Saccharomyces cerevisiae S288C: one gene and its partners. The gene in region 1 interacts genetically with each later gene. Each region holds a gene or a part of one and is shown on either strand. Other genes may lie near its edges. The genes, in order: SVF1, GCD11, FAT1 and UBP9.

What was found.
Region 2: mutations in SVF1 (region 1) and GCD11 together harm fitness more than expected from each alone (negative genetic interaction), as found in Saccharomyces cerevisiae (one large-scale study listed by BioGRID).
Region 3: mutations in SVF1 (region 1) and FAT1 together harm fitness more than expected from each alone (negative genetic interaction), as found in Saccharomyces cerevisiae (2 studies listed by BioGRID).
Region 4: mutations in SVF1 (region 1) and UBP9 together harm fitness less than expected from each alone (positive genetic interaction), as found in Saccharomyces cerevisiae (one large-scale study listed by BioGRID).

What each region holds. Positions count from the first base shown.
Region 1 is NC_001136.10:1,166,648-1,170,582, forward strand, and holds SVF1 (Svf1p), read right to left. Parts: upstream 2,013-3,935; coding exon 567-2,012; downstream 1-566. Other genes in the region: mitochondrial 37S ribosomal protein mS43 MRP1, read left to right, coding at 2,531-3,496; PAL1 (Pal1p), read right to left, coding at 3,679-3,935. UniProt on the Saccharomyces cerevisiae protein: Ceramide-binding protein that may transfer ceramides from the endoplasmic reticulum membrane to the cis-Golgi network membrane, and is thereby required for the biosynthesis of complex sphingolipids. Required for survival in response to oxidative stress.
Region 2 is NC_001137.3:203,528-207,393, forward strand, and holds GCD11 (translation initiation factor eIF2 subunit gamma), read left to right. Parts: upstream 1-1,723; coding exon 1,724-3,307; downstream 3,308-3,866. Other genes in the region: carnitine O-acetyltransferase YAT2, read left to right, coding at 1-1,436. UniProt on the Saccharomyces cerevisiae protein: As a subunit of eukaryotic initiation factor 2 eIF2, involved in the early steps of protein synthesis.
Region 3 is NC_001134.8:316,521-320,792, reverse strand, and holds FAT1 (long-chain fatty acid transporter FAT1), read right to left. Parts: upstream 2,528-4,272; coding exon 518-2,527; downstream 1-517. Other genes in the region: CST26 (putative acyltransferase), read left to right, coding at 1-377; FIG1 (Fig1p), read right to left, coding at 2,929-3,825. UniProt on the Saccharomyces cerevisiae protein: Acyl-CoA synthetase required for both the import of long chain fatty acids (LCFAs) (C14-C18) and the activation very long chain fatty acids (VLCFAs) (C20-C26) by esterification of the fatty acids into metabolically active CoA-thioesters for subsequent degradation or incorporation into phospholipids.
Region 4 is NC_001137.3:353,759-358,254, forward strand, and holds UBP9 (putative ubiquitin-specific protease UBP9), read left to right. Parts: upstream 1-1,707; coding exon 1,708-3,972; downstream 3,973-4,496. Other genes in the region: ribose phosphate diphosphokinase subunit PRS2, read right to left, coding at 4,347-4,496.

The DNA of each region.
Region 1 (3,935 bases):
TCGTTTCCATTTTCCGACTTTGCAGATTAGATGGATCCCTAAAACGAAGTGCATAGTTGCGGTATTTTGTATTTGAGCCATTTAAAATAGTCTGGAAGGTTTTCTTTTTGATTAAATACATTTGGTGTTTCATTAAACCTGGAACAATACATATGATCACTTCATCCCGATAAATACCAAGCCCCAGGAACGTACTTACTCCTACCAGCACCTGTATTATAACCTTTTCTGAGAGTTCTTTTGTTTTGCTTGCAAGGGTATATTTCGCAGATATCCACGAAAACTTTATTCATTTGCTCAGGCTATATTACATTATATATATATATGTATGGATACATAAGAAAAATGAGATGAATAAAAACGACAACTATTTATTATGGCAACATTGTTTACTGTGGCTATTTCTCGCATCACTCTTATTTTGAACAATAGTATCGATTATGTGACGCAACAATTAAAAAGGGGTATAACGATAACTTGCTATAATTATTAAAATTTGCAATATTAGATTTGTGTAGTATTAAATCACAGATAGGAAAAAGCATACGAGACCTTCCCACTTTTGCTCATGCTTCATTGTAAGACTCCTCACTAATCACATCTGATTCAGAAATGAATGTTACTTCGGTCCAAGCTACACCGTGAATTTTCTCCCCGCCATTTATTTGTAAAGTTGAGCTTTTTGGATCAGCATATTGGTATATAAATGGCTTAGTACCAGCAACACCAGAGACGATGTTTTTAACAAAACTTGGAATTTCGCCCATCACATCAATTCTTTCAACTAGGTTGTTCAACGGACCCTCCACAACAGCACAGATCTTATTTTCTTCTGCGACGTTCTTGTATTCTTCTTCCTCTTCATCTTCCTTTTCATCTTCCTTTTCATCCTCTCCTTGTAAAGCTTGTTCAGTCCCATTCTCGGATTCCAATTGTTCATCCTTGACTTTGGTATTGATACCTTTGAAGGTGATCTTAATATCTTTTGGAACTTTCCAACCAACAGAATCAATTTCTGAGTTTAAGTGCTCAACAAGATTGTTAGTTGTCATCGCTAAAACTTCTTTATCATCGGTAATAATACCAGCAGAAATTTTAGTGTTGGCATATGATTTTGGTGTAGTGAACTCCATCAACACCGCGGAATACTTTTCGGAATGGAAAAACATGAAGTTCCATGCCTTAGCTGCGTGATGAGGCTTCATGCCTTGGAAGGCCATTATAAATGTCGAAATCGCAGGGTCTTCCTCTTTAAAAGTAATCGTACGATCTTCATAGGTGATTTCGACTTCTTCACTGTCGCTTTCTTCTTCACTACCAGATTCCTCCTCAGAATCACCAGACTCTTCATCTTCGTCTTCATTATCATCCTCATCAGCTGAGGATTCTTCTTCATCAGATTCTGGAATAACTTCTTTCTTAACTTTGATAGTACCGTGACAAGCATTCCTTGGCCAGAAAACGTGTCTCATGCTACCCCATGGTTCATTGATATTGTTACCATAATAAGTCGCAGGATCATCGCCTATCTTGGCTCCAGGGGTTAACCTTCTTATATGCAAGTCAACGACAGATAAATCACAAACACTGGATTGAATGTGATAGCTTTCACCGTCTTCACTTAATTCTACAGAAAGATTGTCGGCATAGAAGTTTGGACCTTCGATGTAAAAATTTTCCAACTTGGTGGAAGTCCAGATATTCAAATCCTCTGGATTCTTCGAGTCAAAAATTCTGAAAGTAAATTGGGATGCAGTGTGCAACCCAATGATGTTCGAATGAATAACCTGGGCAAATCCAAAGATACCTGTTTTCAAGTCACTGAAATAAAAGATAACCGATTCAACGTTTGTATGGTCAGGAGCTTGCCAAAAAAAATCTTCACGACTGGTTTCTCTGTAAGGCTGCTTATTTTTTACCCTATCAGCAACACTATGAATGTAATCTTTCCCATATTCAGGCTCAGCCATACCAGTGACTGCTGAGATCCCACCTTTTATCCACTTCAACATTATATTATATTATACAAAAGCTTATTCGTTTCTTTTTTCTTGATTCGATGCAATAAATGACTGAATCTTTTGATCTTCTACAGATTTCAAATTATCAAACGAATACAAAAGAATTCTATCAACAGGCTCTATCTATATATAACAAACGAAAAGCCGTGCTATTCGTGAATCTCAAGGAGTAATCTTGCAAGATATCCCCGAATGTTTCAATCAACCAGCTGTCATTTCGCTTTTGTTTTCTCCCACTCATCGCAAGTTTGCCTCCTCAACAACAAAAAAACAACGAAAAAAAGCGGTACTAAACCGGACCTGAAGTTCCGTGGAAAGTGAGATTTATATTATGCAGGATTTTGCTCAGATTCTCTCAAGAGCAATATCATAATGCATAAGTGATGAAAAGTATGGCAGAAACGGTGGGAGGAACCGCAGTTTTAGCTAGGATCTGGAAACAATCAGTGATTTGCCATTTAACAGCTGGGGGAATCTAAATACTTTTGAATTTTAAGGTTTCCAGCACCATGCTTCGCTTTACTGGTGCTCGCGCTATTAGAAAGTACTCTACTAGGTATGCACTCGAGCACCTGAAAGAAGGTGCTCCTCTGAAAGGGCTGTTTTCTATTGAAGGATTACAGAAAGCATGGTTCGACCGAGTGAAATATCTCGATGCAAAATTGAACGATTGTACAAATGAAGCGCAACAAAAACCCTTAGAAACTCTCATCCATGAAAATTCGAAATCTGCTTCAAAGAAACATATCGTGAACTATGCGTCATCATTGTACAACTTGAAATTTAGCATGTCTTCCCTTCAGGGATGTATCAGGACTCCGCCAGAGGAATGCCCCAGGCTAGGTCCAGAGGCGCTACTTCAGACCCCTGATTTCAATAGGACAATAAGCAATGAGCCATTGACCACTGGCAACGAACGTTTGCAAGCAGCTCTAATTTCTTCATTTGGGTCTTTGATGGAGTTCAGAACATTATTAATAAATTCAAATCTTGCTATATCAGGCGACGGGTTTACGTGGTTAGTCGCAAGACGGCAGCTCGACAAACGTGCTATGCGCAACGACATGCCAAACAGGGATATTGAATATGATAAGCTGTTTATATTGAATACGTACAATGCGGGAACTCCCTTCAACTTCTCTACATCTGGGGTAATGAATGAGCTCAATAACCAATATACCAACATGGAAAAACAACGAGCCAAAGAAGCCGGTAATCTTGAAGATTCTGAGATGACTGCCAAGCAAGCCAAGACAAAATTTATTTATGAAACCCAACAGAAAGGTTTTTCTGGGAAAGAGGTTTCATATATCCCGCTTTTAGCCATTGATGCGTCACCAAAAACATGGTTAACTGATTATGGCGTATTTGGGAAACGAGAATATTTAGAAAGGGTATGGGACTCTATAGAATGGAAAATTGTAGAGTCAAGGTTACCTCAACGTACTAAGATCCAAGCATTCAACACGTTATGAATGAAACTGGTAATGGGAATTTTTTCCTTTTGATATAAGTTGGTAGTCTCTGTAAATATATAAAGTCAAACTATTCGTAATGTGTATATAACGTGGTCTTAAATTATTTTTATTCGTATCTCTCCCTTTTATTTGCCTGGCTTTGGTGTCTCATAGCTTCTTTTCTCTCTTTTAAGCTCACTTTACTGACTTTTCCTGCCGACCTTTAGACTTTTTACTCTGCTCAGTAATTTGCTGCCCGTCGATTTCTTTTTCATATTGGGCTCATTGTAGCGCACACCCAAATAAACGTCTTCCTCATCTTCATTGTGATCATCTTGGCCGTCGAAATCAGTAGTATAATTGGACTTATGCGTTCTGTTAGGAGAATTAACGGTTTTCGACCTTCTAACACCTTCATTGCTGTGACCAACATCATAGTTGTCTCTACTTAAACTCA
Region 2 (3,866 bases), on another chromosome or scaffold:
TTAACGCCGGTGACCCACAGTTTTCACTCTGGCCTAACGTGACACAAATGGATCCTGAAACTAAAAAACTGATGACGGCGACCATAAGTGCCGACGGCGGAGGCCCTTCTGAAATTGACCCTAAGTTGGTTGTAAATAAAATCGATTGGTCTTTCAGTAACATCCTGAACACACATGTCCATTTGTCAGAAACCAAACTAGCTGATCTGATTTCCAAGTATGATATTGTTCGCGCTTCTATTCCATTGGGCAGAAGGTCAGCTCAAAGATTAGGAGTCAAGCCCGATTCGATGGTTCAAGTAGCTTTACAAATAGCTCACTATGCTTTGTATGGAAGAATGGTGTTTGGATTAGAACCAGTATCCACACGTGGTTTCAAAAACTCGAGATCATCTTTTATTAACATTCAAAGTCAAGCGCTGTTGGAACTATGTCAATTGTTTATTTCTAGCTCCATTGATGGGACAGATAAATTAGACAAATTTATCCAAACCTGCGAAACACATAATAACATGGTTAAACATGCAAAGTCTGGGGTAGGTTATGAAAAACACTTCAATGCATTGAAATATCTCTTCAAATTTCATGACCATTTTGGTATCCACTTAAGTGGTGATGAATCATCTGCTGCGAAAGATCTTTTCGAAAATCCACTTGTTTTACCTTTCTCACAGCCTGAGTTGATTGTTGCCAACTGTGGTAATGCTGCTACCACGACATTTGGTATAACTCCTGCTGTACCTCATGGCTTTGGAATAGGGTACATCATTAAAGATGATCAAGTAGATTTGACCGTGACATCGCAATTTCGACAGGGTGACAGGTTAATGTTTATGTTAAGTTGGGTGTTAGGCGAAATTCGTTCCTACTGGAGGATGTCACGCGGCACTTCTCATAATAAAACTGGCGTGAAGATCAGTCCAGTGGTCGATAAATTGTATGAAATGGACAATGCAGTCAATAATCCTCCGAAACGTAACGGCCATACAGTCAATGGCTCCCGCAAAACATCTTCTTCATCACAGGTAAATTTGAACAGGTATGGCGGGTTTTTCGATTTGGAAGGCCACATTGACAGTAGGAATATATCTAAAACACCATCGATGAAGAATTTGCAGAAAACCTTCAATGGCTTGACCATGAGCGCAGACAATGATCATTCAAGTTCCGCAGTTTCCGTTCCCACAGAAAAGGAAAAATTAAATACAGGCCATGAAATTTTACAGATCCAACCGCGGGAAGTGGCAAGTAATGGGTTGGAAGCAGATGATGAGACAGATATTGAAATAGTTGCTGGCAATGCTGATGGCACATCCTCTTCGGCATCTTCAGCTACATCTCTAAATTCCAAGAAACGTAACGTCATCAACTCAAGATTCGATATTGATTTTGACCGCAGTCGTGTGGGTAGAAAGGTGGCGACCTTAGATCAATAAGAACGCTCTTTGTTTATCTATTTATTACTAGCATTATGCGTAAGCTTGGCGTGATGTGATATATACTTGTTATATGAAGTATATCAATATGCTTTAATTTATGCTTATTATTTGCTCTCATGTCAGTAACCCGGACCAGATTTGCCATTGAAAAAATTTTCATAGAATAGCCCGATGCTGATCATCAGTACAAAAGACAGAGATTTCATCTCGACCTGTACCAGGAGCTAAGCAAAGAGGGCGGAAAGAGCGTAATACACCGTTAACATCGCGCATTAGAGGTAGACATGAGTGACTTACAAGACCAAGAACCTAGCATTATTATCAACGGTAATTTGGAACCAGTTGGTGAACCAGATATCGTTGAAGAAACGGAAGTTGTAGCTCAAGAAACACAAGAAACACAAGATGCTGATAAGCCAAAGAAGAAAGTCGCCTTCACTGGCTTGGAAGAAGACGGGGAAACTGAAGAAGAAAAAAGGAAAAGGGAATTTGAAGAAGGTGGTGGTTTGCCCGAACAACCATTAAACCCTGATTTTTCAAAATTAAACCCACTATCCGCCGAAATTATCAACAGGCAAGCTACAATAAACATCGGTACCATCGGTCATGTCGCCCACGGTAAATCCACAGTAGTTAGGGCTATTTCAGGTGTCCAAACAGTCCGTTTTAAGGATGAATTAGAACGTAACATTACTATTAAGTTAGGTTACGCTAATGCTAAAATTTATAAATGTCAAGAGCCTACATGTCCCGAACCTGATTGTTATAGATCATTCAAATCTGATAAAGAAATCAGTCCTAAATGTCAAAGACCAGGTTGTCCGGGGCGTTACAAATTGGTCCGTCACGTTTCTTTTGTTGACTGTCCCGGTCACGATATCTTAATGAGTACTATGTTATCAGGTGCTGCTGTTATGGATGCTGCGTTACTGTTGATTGCAGGTAATGAATCTTGTCCACAACCTCAAACCTCAGAGCATTTAGCTGCCATTGAAATCATGAAATTAAAGCACGTCATCATCTTACAGAATAAGGTCGATTTAATGCGTGAAGAAAGTGCCTTAGAACACCAAAAATCCATCTTGAAGTTCATCAGAGGTACCATTGCTGACGGTGCTCCTATTGTACCAATATCCGCTCAGTTGAAGTATAACATCGACGCAGTTAATGAATTTATTGTCAAGACTATTCCCGTACCACCAAGAGATTTTATGATTTCTCCAAGGTTAATTGTTATTCGTTCATTTGATGTTAATAAGCCAGGTGCTGAAATCGAGGACCTGAAAGGTGGTGTTGCCGGTGGTTCTATTTTGAATGGTGTTTTCAAATTAGGTGATGAAATTGAGATTAGACCAGGTATTGTCACCAAGGATGATAAGGGTAAAATTCAATGTAAACCAATCTTTTCTAACATTGTCTCCTTATTTGCCGAACAAAATGACTTGAAGTTTGCTGTTCCCGGTGGTCTGATTGGTGTTGGTACTAAAGTTGATCCTACCTTGTGTAGAGCTGATCGTCTTGTCGGTCAAGTCGTCGGTGCTAAGGGTCATTTGCCAAACATTTATACTGATATCGAAATCAACTACTTTTTGCTACGTCGTCTATTAGGTGTCAAAACAGATGGTCAAAAGCAAGCCAAAGTCAGAAAATTAGAGCCAAATGAAGTTCTTATGGTCAACATTGGTTCTACCGCTACGGGGGCTCGTGTGGTTGCCGTTAAAGCTGATATGGCAAGATTACAGTTAACGTCGCCCGCTTGTACTGAAATTAACGAGAAGATTGCTTTGTCGAGACGTATCGAAAAGCATTGGCGTTTGATTGGTTGGGCAACCATTAAAAAGGGTACTACATTGGAACCCATCGCTTAAGGAACCAATAAAACCACTGCAAAGACAAAAATTTCATAATTAATCTGAAAGAAAGTGAAGATAAGAAACGGGCTAGGAGGAAGGGAAACTGACACTTCTGGTTATTGCAATATGCTCATATACATTGATGCGTAATGACATTGATGATCTTTATTCTCTTTTTATAACGTTTTCTTTCTTTTTTTTTCCTTCTTACATAGTATTCAACTGTATATTTAACATGTTTTACGTATTTTTAAGAAAAAATTACTAAACGCGATAATATTAAGCAAATATTTATCTCATAGTTCTCGAACTCATTTATTTCCCATTGATGCCATGAAAACCTCTCAAACCTTTATCGTCTAGTTACACCAGTAGTCAATAAACTGCCTTTCTTTTTTTACACCCAACATACTCTACACTAAATCTTATCGGTGGTTTGTACATGGAGACAATTGCACAAAGATAATGAAGCTCCAAAATTATTCAGTATCTATTGAGTATATATAACCTTGAAAAGGTTTTATTTTATATAAGTTCGCCATCTTAGTATAGTGGTTAGTACACATCGTTGTGG
Region 3 (4,272 bases), on another chromosome or scaffold:
GTCTTTATGATATTACGATCGGCTACTCCGGTGTAAAACAGGAGGAATATGGTGAGCTTATATATGGGCTGAAGAGCATATTTTTAGAAGGAAAATACCCGAAGTTAGTCGATATTCACATCAGAGCATTTGATGTTAAAGATATTCCATTAGAGGACGAGAATGAATTTTCAGAATGGCTGTATAAAATTTGGAGTGAGAAGGATGCTCTAATGGAAAGGTACTATTCCACTGGATCATTCGTAAGTGATCCTGAAACAAACCATTCAGTTACCGATAGTTTCAAGATCAATCGTATTGAGTTAACTGAAGTGCTAATATTACCAACTCTAACAATAATTTGGTTAGTTTATAAACTTTATTGTTTTATTTTTTGAATTTAAATAATCCTTTCCATATGTTATTAGGTACATATATAGATAGATATAAAACTTTTTTTGATTCTTTATCAATATTACGTTTACATACGTACTCTCGTGCAAGGAAAAATACTTTATCCTAATTCAGGAACATCAAATCATAATTTAATTGTTTGTGCATCGATGGCTTCCCAATCAGCAGCGGTCAAGACTTCATAGCGCTTGTAATTCTTGAGCCAAAAAATAGTGTCATTTCCATCCAAACCCTTTGGTAATTTTTGCTCTCTATAAACCTTCTTCAAAATTTTATGATTATCTGTCATTTTAATTTCATCAACAAATTTAACAAATAGGGGCATAGCATAAGACGGTAGATTTAACCGGCTCAAGGAATCATTTAATAATTTGGTCTTTGCAGTGATGTCAAGAGAGTTGTCAGTTAGTTTAATAACTGCAAAACCAGCTCTACCTTCATATTTAGGTACTTTAATACCAACAACTAGAACTTGTGCATATTGTTCTTTGTTACTGGCCGTCAACTGATCTTCTACTTCAGTAGTGGAAACATTTTCAGATTTCCATCTGAAAGTATCACCCATTCTATCAAGGAAATACCATAATCCATATTCGTCCGCTTTTAATAAATCTCCACATCTATACCAAGCATCGCCACGTCTGAAGACATCCCTCACAACTTTGGACTTTGTTTCCTTGGCATTACCAAGATAACCTTGAAAAGATGTTTCTGGTTTTTTAGGGAAAAAGATTCTCATTAACATTTCTCCTGGTTCGCCAACAGGGGCCACTTCGCAGAAACCCTTGGAATTTCTATATATAACGGAATCGTCATTTGGGTCCATCCTTACCAATGTTTGTTGGAATGACAAAAACCATTGAATTATAGTACCATAGTTCCTACATGCGCCAATTCCAAAGTCACCTTTCTGGAAGGTAGTTGTAGCAAAAGGAGCTTCAGTTGCGGCATAGAATTCACCAATAACTTCTATGTTGAACCTCTTCCTGAAGTCCTGCCAGATGTCAGGTCTCAGCCCGTTACCATAAGCAACCTTCACCTTATGCATCTTTTCATACTTAGAAATTGGCGTATGTAACAGGTATCTACAGACTTCTCCGACATATTGGATGTGCGTGGCTCCTGTTAAATAAACTTGCTTCCAAAATGTACTGGCAGAAAATTTATGCGATAACGCAAGGCAACCACCGTGAGATAGAATGGCGCACGCACCTAATAAGGCAGCAGTTGAATGGAACAATGGCATGGCTGTGAACACAGTGCTTTCATTAGTCATATGTAAAACATGACCAAAAACTTGACAACCTACGGAGGATTTTCTCCAAGACATAATAGCGGATTTAGGCAAACCAGTGGTTCCAGATGTATAAATTAACATAGAGGGTTTAAAATCGGTCAAGCCTAGTGGTGTCCTAACGTTGTCTTGTTGTAAGAATTCCGGTGATTGCGAATTTAAAAGTTCATGCATTAAGTCTTGTTCTTCAAGATAGTTTAATTTAACATCAGGAAGTGCGTTTTTGATTTCTTCTTCCGATTCTCTGATCGGATTACTGGCATCAGGGTCAATAAATACCTGCGTAATATTGGAAATCTTTAGGGAGTGAACCAGCGGAGTGCCTTTAGTATTATAGTTTAAAAAAGCTGGAATAGCCCCAATGTTCCACAAAGAAAGCCATAAAAATACGAAAAGAGGTTTATTAGTACAATCGATTGCCACGTAGTCACCGGCCTGAACGTTATAATCAAAATGCAAAATATGAGACAATCTCAACACTATGTTATAAGTTTCAATATACGTAAAGGTTTCGAGTTGAAATTCTCCCTTTTCGGCCATGGGACGGGTGTAACTAATCGCTAAATGGTCACCATTTTGTTGGACCTGTTTAATAAATAAGTACCAGTTTTGAAACCTATGTCTTCTCACATCAATGATATAACAAAACACGCTTTTCAAAAAGTAAGGAATAATATACCAATCCTCCTTGTATCTATATTTACGGTCTAATTCATCAAAATAATTACCAAATAGATAACCCAGTGATTTCTGGATAGGGGTTATAATTAGCTTGATAAGTCTGAATAATAGCAGGAAAATCCTTGACAAGGCAAAGACAACAACCTGTATGGGAGACATAGTCGGTATTCGCAGCCTATTAAAAGTTCAACGATATAGAATTTGAATGATTTGGGCTTTTCAATTTAGTTTACGACTTTAAGGTCCTTATTTTTTTTGCTATAACATTAGTATTTATAAAAAATTTCTGGAGCTTTGTTACATTGCGCGAAAAACCCGCGTTCTATCTTTTTAGTCGCTCATCAAGGTGACAGTAAATAAAACAGACGGTAATGATTAGAGTTTAGGTAAGCTCATATTTTCTCTGTTGTTACTTAATTATCGAACGTTAAATTTTTTAAGTAGTTCATCACATTATATAATGTTAATCGTGAATTATATAAATTTTTTCTCCTTTTACTTTTAAAAATTGACATTCTGAAATATCCGCTCAAAACTTATATGTTTATTTGAGGATAAAACTAAACTTTGGAATGCAATGTAGATGAATCCGAAGAGTAGTTATTGTACCTATTTTGGGCACATGGAACATTATCAATTTCATCTTTCAAGCTTTTCCTATCCCTTAAAAATATTAACCATAAAACCACACTGTCTAAAAGGAGGAATGCAAAGCTAAACCAAGCCATTACTGCTGCCTTCTTGCCCTTCTTGACAGTGATTATATTCATACTTGATGATGGAACCAATCTGTAACTTGCATTTATCCCTACATGAGTCCACATCGCACCAATACCCCATGTCAAAACTATAGTTGAACTTAGCAACAGTAGAAATTTATTAACCGCTAGTTTGAATGGTAACTTAGGGACAGTTACATACAGAATAAATAGAAACATTAGGATTGTTAGGATTACAGTTGCCATCAAGACATATGGATGTATAACATTAACCGAAGTTAATTGGGCTAACTTCAAAATGTTCAAGACAACGCTTGATTGGGTTTTGGAGCTGGAAGATGCAATATTTGAGAGTTGAATTTCCAAGTCTCTGTATAAGGGAACCGAGCTTAAATTCTTTCTTGCATAGCAAATTGAATTGGAGAATGTAGTCATATTATTGTAAGAGCTATATTGGGAGGGAATGTTATCAATACAAACACCCATGTAACCGGATCTTATAATGACTTCCTCCAAGCCCAGAGTTGTATTTGATTTTTCATATGATTTCTCTATGATCGTATAAAAAGGTGAGTTGTCATCAAATTTATACTTCACTAGAAATGTTGACTGATTTGACGGGTTGTAACAGCCGATGAGAAGAAAAATCAAAAGAAATATTGAAATTAAATTAAAAGCTAATGCAAATATTCTGGGCATACGCTTGGTAAAAAACCAAATCATTGAGATTGCGACCATTTTTTTTTTTTTTTTTTTGTTTGTTTGTTTGTTTGTTTACTATAATTTCTTCTACCAAAGACAAGCAAGAACCTGAGATAAAAAACATTTAACAGACATTTTACAAATATATACCAATGTCTTTGTTATTTCAACAGCACTATATATTGTTTTCATTTTCTTGGTTCGTTTCATTGCTACTTAGCCATATTTTTTTTAACTGACACATACATGAAACCATCATAATCTTAATGGGAAAAAATCCTAAAGCGAGAAGGACTTTCAAAAAAAAAAAGTTTTAAAAATGTTATAATTTTTGTATTTTACCTGAATATATAGTAGTGTTTAGTATTTATTATCTTTCCTTTTCTATTTAAGGTATTCTTTGGATATATACTTCGTCTCATCAAGTCAAAATTCGTTTCATGTTCTACAAAAACAACGTCAAATAAAGAGGCAATGCAGGGT
Region 4 (4,496 bases), on another chromosome or scaffold:
ACATAAGCATAATTCAAGTATCGGGATATAAAGCTATTATATACCGCTTAAGATAAGAGGTATACACCTCATTGATCAAATACGCAACAGCGTCTCCTTTCAGACCTTTGTGGAGTAATTTCTGCGGGTAGGATTGACTATTTTTCAAGATCAATGCCCCCTCACACTAAGACCTGTTTGCTTAGCATCATAAATGAGTTTTTCCATAATTAAATTTCAACCATAGATTAGAATTTCGTTGCGGGATAAAACTCCAGAACCACAACGATTATGCAGCAAATGTAACCTTGAACTAAACTAAGATTTTGTTAGAGCAGGTGGTTTCCGTTACTCAGACAAGAACCTATAGTAGAAATATAAAAGTTTAAGTAAAACTTTCTTGGAATAGGAATCAGCCATCATCTATCAACTAGTGTACTGATATTCATAATACTGGTATACAATCATATACGGTGCGGGAAGATGACATAAAAAATTGAGAAACACTCATCAAATTTAATGGAGGCCGAAATGCAGGGACTCAGATCGTGATAGAATAATAAACGAGAACATATAAAATGGAAGAAAAAAGAATAACAACAATATGTAGATTTATCGATTCTGTTGATAATTAGAGGTAAAAAAATAGTATTAATGAAGAAATAATTACTGATCTTCTTATACTAAATAAGAGAGGTATATAAAACACACGCCGATTGGTCATATTAATCATGACCAATATAATAGTGATTCCGGTAGTTACTATACATTGATGTGACGACTCATATTCCTCATATATGTACCTACCATAACATGTTCAACTAATAGGTGTTTAACACAGCTTCAGTATTGTCTGAGCTTCTCGTTTAACATTCCTTCTGCAATAGGCGCAATCACACTTAAACGTATACGAGGTGTACATTAATATACGATGTAAGCATTAGATTGTTACCATAGCAACTCATGTCACTATTAATTACTCTCGTTCCAACAGATTCTCCTTTTATGGATTCCATATCTCGAGGAGACTTCTAGTATATTCTGTATACGCAATATTATAGCGTTTACGAACAATGAATCCCAACAATTATTTTAAAATTCACCAACATCTCAATATGTGTTTTATGAATATTTTAGGTGGGTATTGTCATACTGACGTATTCCATTTTGAGATGCAACACATACGTGTATTGTAATCCGATATAGTGTAACGGCTATCACATCACGCTTTCACCGTGGAGACCGGGGTTCGACTCCCCGTATCGGAGTACTTTTTTGACATCATACAGTGTATGTATGGGGTTAGGAGCCACCTTCCAACAAAGCATCACGCTGTCGTATCTCAATTGTCCTTCAGCAAAAGAAAAAGCAGTTGGGCTCCTGTACGCCATATATACTTTATATGCGGTTTTTACCCCGGAAATCGCGTTTATTAATGTCAATGCGCGATTTCTATTATGGGTTGAAAAAGTTGCACTTCTGTTCCTTTCCAAACGATATACGCCCCCCCCACAAGAAAACGTTTCTCTTGCATTCAATAAGGTCCATCGAAGCTGTATTTGGAACTTCCGATTTTATTAAACTTCTAGGGGCGAACTCAACCTTTCGCTTGAACAAGCTTGAATGTGTCGAAAACCTTAGCTCGATCCTTAAAAAAGTATTTGCATTATCAGTAATAAACAGAAAATTAAAACATTTACCAAAGGCAACGAGTCTTCCATATGAAAAATGATAAAAAGATGGTTATCTGTGAATAGGAAAAAGTCACACCCGGAGAAGAACACTCAAGGTAATGACGAAATTAATCGGAAAGCAACTAGCCTGAAGAAAACGAAAGGTTCTGGAGATCCCTCCATAGCGAAATCACCAAGTGCTAAGAGTAGTACATCAAGCATACCTTCTAATCTTGCGAGCCATGAAAGAAGAAGCAAGTTTAGTAGTCAAACGGATAACCTTGCAGGAAATAAACATTACCATGAGCATTACCATAATATGGCAAGTACTTCAGATGAAAGAGAGTACGATTCCTCGACTACATATGAAGATCGTGCGTTCGATACAGAGTCCTCCATACTATTTACTACTATTACAGATTTAATGCCATATGGGGATGGTTCCAATAAAGTGTTTGGTTATGAAAATTTTGGGAATACTTGCTACTGCAACTCCGTTCTACAATGCCTTTATAATATCCCCGAATTTAGGTGTAATGTGCTGCGATATCCTGAAAGAGTAGCCGCAGTAAACAGAATACGCAAAAGTGATTTGAAGGGTTCAAAAATAAGGGTATTCACTAATGAAAGTTTTGAAACATCTACTAATAGCGGAAATTCTAATACGGGGTACCAAAGCAATGATAATGAAGATGCACATAACCACCACCACCTTCAGCAGAGTGATCAAGATAACTCCTCTTCTTCTACTCAAGAAAAACAGAATAATTTTGAAAGAAAAAGGAACTCGTTTATGGGTTTTGGAAAAGATAAATCGAACTATAAAGATTCTGCAAAGAAAGATGATAACAATGAGATGGAACGGCCTCAGCCTGTTCACACAGTTGTAATGGCCTCTGATACATTAACAGAGAAGCTTCACGAAGGCTGTAAAAAAATTATTGTGGGAAGACCGCTTTTAAAGCAAAGCGATTCCTTATCAAAAGCTTCAACTACAGATTGTCAAGCAAATTCGCATTGCCAGTGTGATTCACAAGGCAGTAGGATTACATCAGTGGATGATGATGTCCTTGTTAACCCTGAGAGCTGTAACGATGCTGTCAACAATTCTAATAATAATAAAGAGAATACGTTTCCAACAAGTGAACAAAGAAAAAAAGCCGCTTTAATTAGAGGCCCCGTTCTTAACGTAGATCATTTACTTTATCCAACCGAGGAAGCTACACTTTACAATGGACTAAAAGATATATTTGAGTCTATTACTGAAAACTTGTCGCTAACCGGTATCGTTTCACCTACAGAGTTTGTCAAAATTTTAAAAAAAGAAAACGTCTTGTTCAACACTATGATGCAACAAGATGCCCATGAATTTTTAAACTTTTTATTAAATGATTTCAGTGAATATATTCAACGCAATAATCCCAGAATGAGATTCGGACCACAAAAGACAGACAACAGCAACGACAACTTTATAACGGATTTATTCAAAGGTACACTGACGAATAGGATCAAATGTTTAACTTGTGACAATATCACCTCAAGGGACGAACCATTTTTAGACTTTCCAATAGAAGTACAGGGTGATGAAGAGACTGATATCCAGAAGATGTTAAAAAGCTATCATCAGCGTGAGATGTTGAACGGGGTTAACAAATTTTATTGTAACAAATGTTATGGTTTACAAGAAGCAGAACGTATGGTCGGACTGAAGCAACTGCCCCATATTCTGTCATTGCACCTAAAAAGATTCAAGTATTCAGAGGAGCAAAAGTCAAACATCAAACTTTTTAACAAAATACTCTATCCACTAACTTTGGATGTTTCTTCCACTTTTAATACATCAGTATATAAAAAATATGAACTAAGCGGCGTCGTCATCCATATGGGGAGCGGTCCACAGCATGGTCATTACGTATGCATTTGCAGGAACGAAAAGTTTGGGTGGCTTTTGTATGATGACGAAACGGTGGAATCCATAAAAGAAGAAACTGTGTTACAATTCACAGGTCATCCAGGTGATCAAACTACAGCCTACGTTTTATTCTATAAAGAAACACAGGCTGATAAGACCGAAAATCAAAATGAAAATATAGACACTTCTAGTCAAGATCAAATGCAGACTGACAATAACATTGAACAGTTAATAAAATGCGATGATTGGTTAAGGGATCGTAAATTGAGGGCAGCTGCAAATATTGAACGCAAAAAGACCTTGGGGAATATACCTGAAGTTAAGACTGCAGAAACCAAGACGCCATTAAATGATAAAAAACGCAATAAGCAAAAAAGAAAATCGAGAATATTGAGCTTCATCAAATAAATCGGGATTGTTTCGATACATCATATAGTTGAGACCCATCTGTTCTAAAAGTATCAATATTAGTGTACCATTTTTTCTTCCTTTTTTAAATAATTTCCACGTTTCTTTCTATTGTTCCTGATCTTTCGAATTTAGTTGTATTTCACTTCACCTACTGTAATAACTTTTTTTTTTTAGAGCACAATAAAATTTCACATATTTTCCAAAAGCAAGGGCGGTAAATCAGAAAAGATTAAGCTTTAATGAAAATCTCATAGAGACCAGATGAAGAATATTGGTGGCAGCATAAGCGCTAATACTGAATAGATATACGCATTTTTTTTCAAAATATCTGTTAGTACATTTATACAAATATATTCGTTTATACCTCTTCTTTAAACAGGCGCATGTGTAAATAAATATGAGACTGATTCTCCATTATGCAATCTTCTGATAGCTTCTGCAATCGTAGGGCTGATATCCACCTGATCGACAATGTCCAAATCCAAATCAACAGGTACCGTGTTGGTGCAAACAATTCTTGA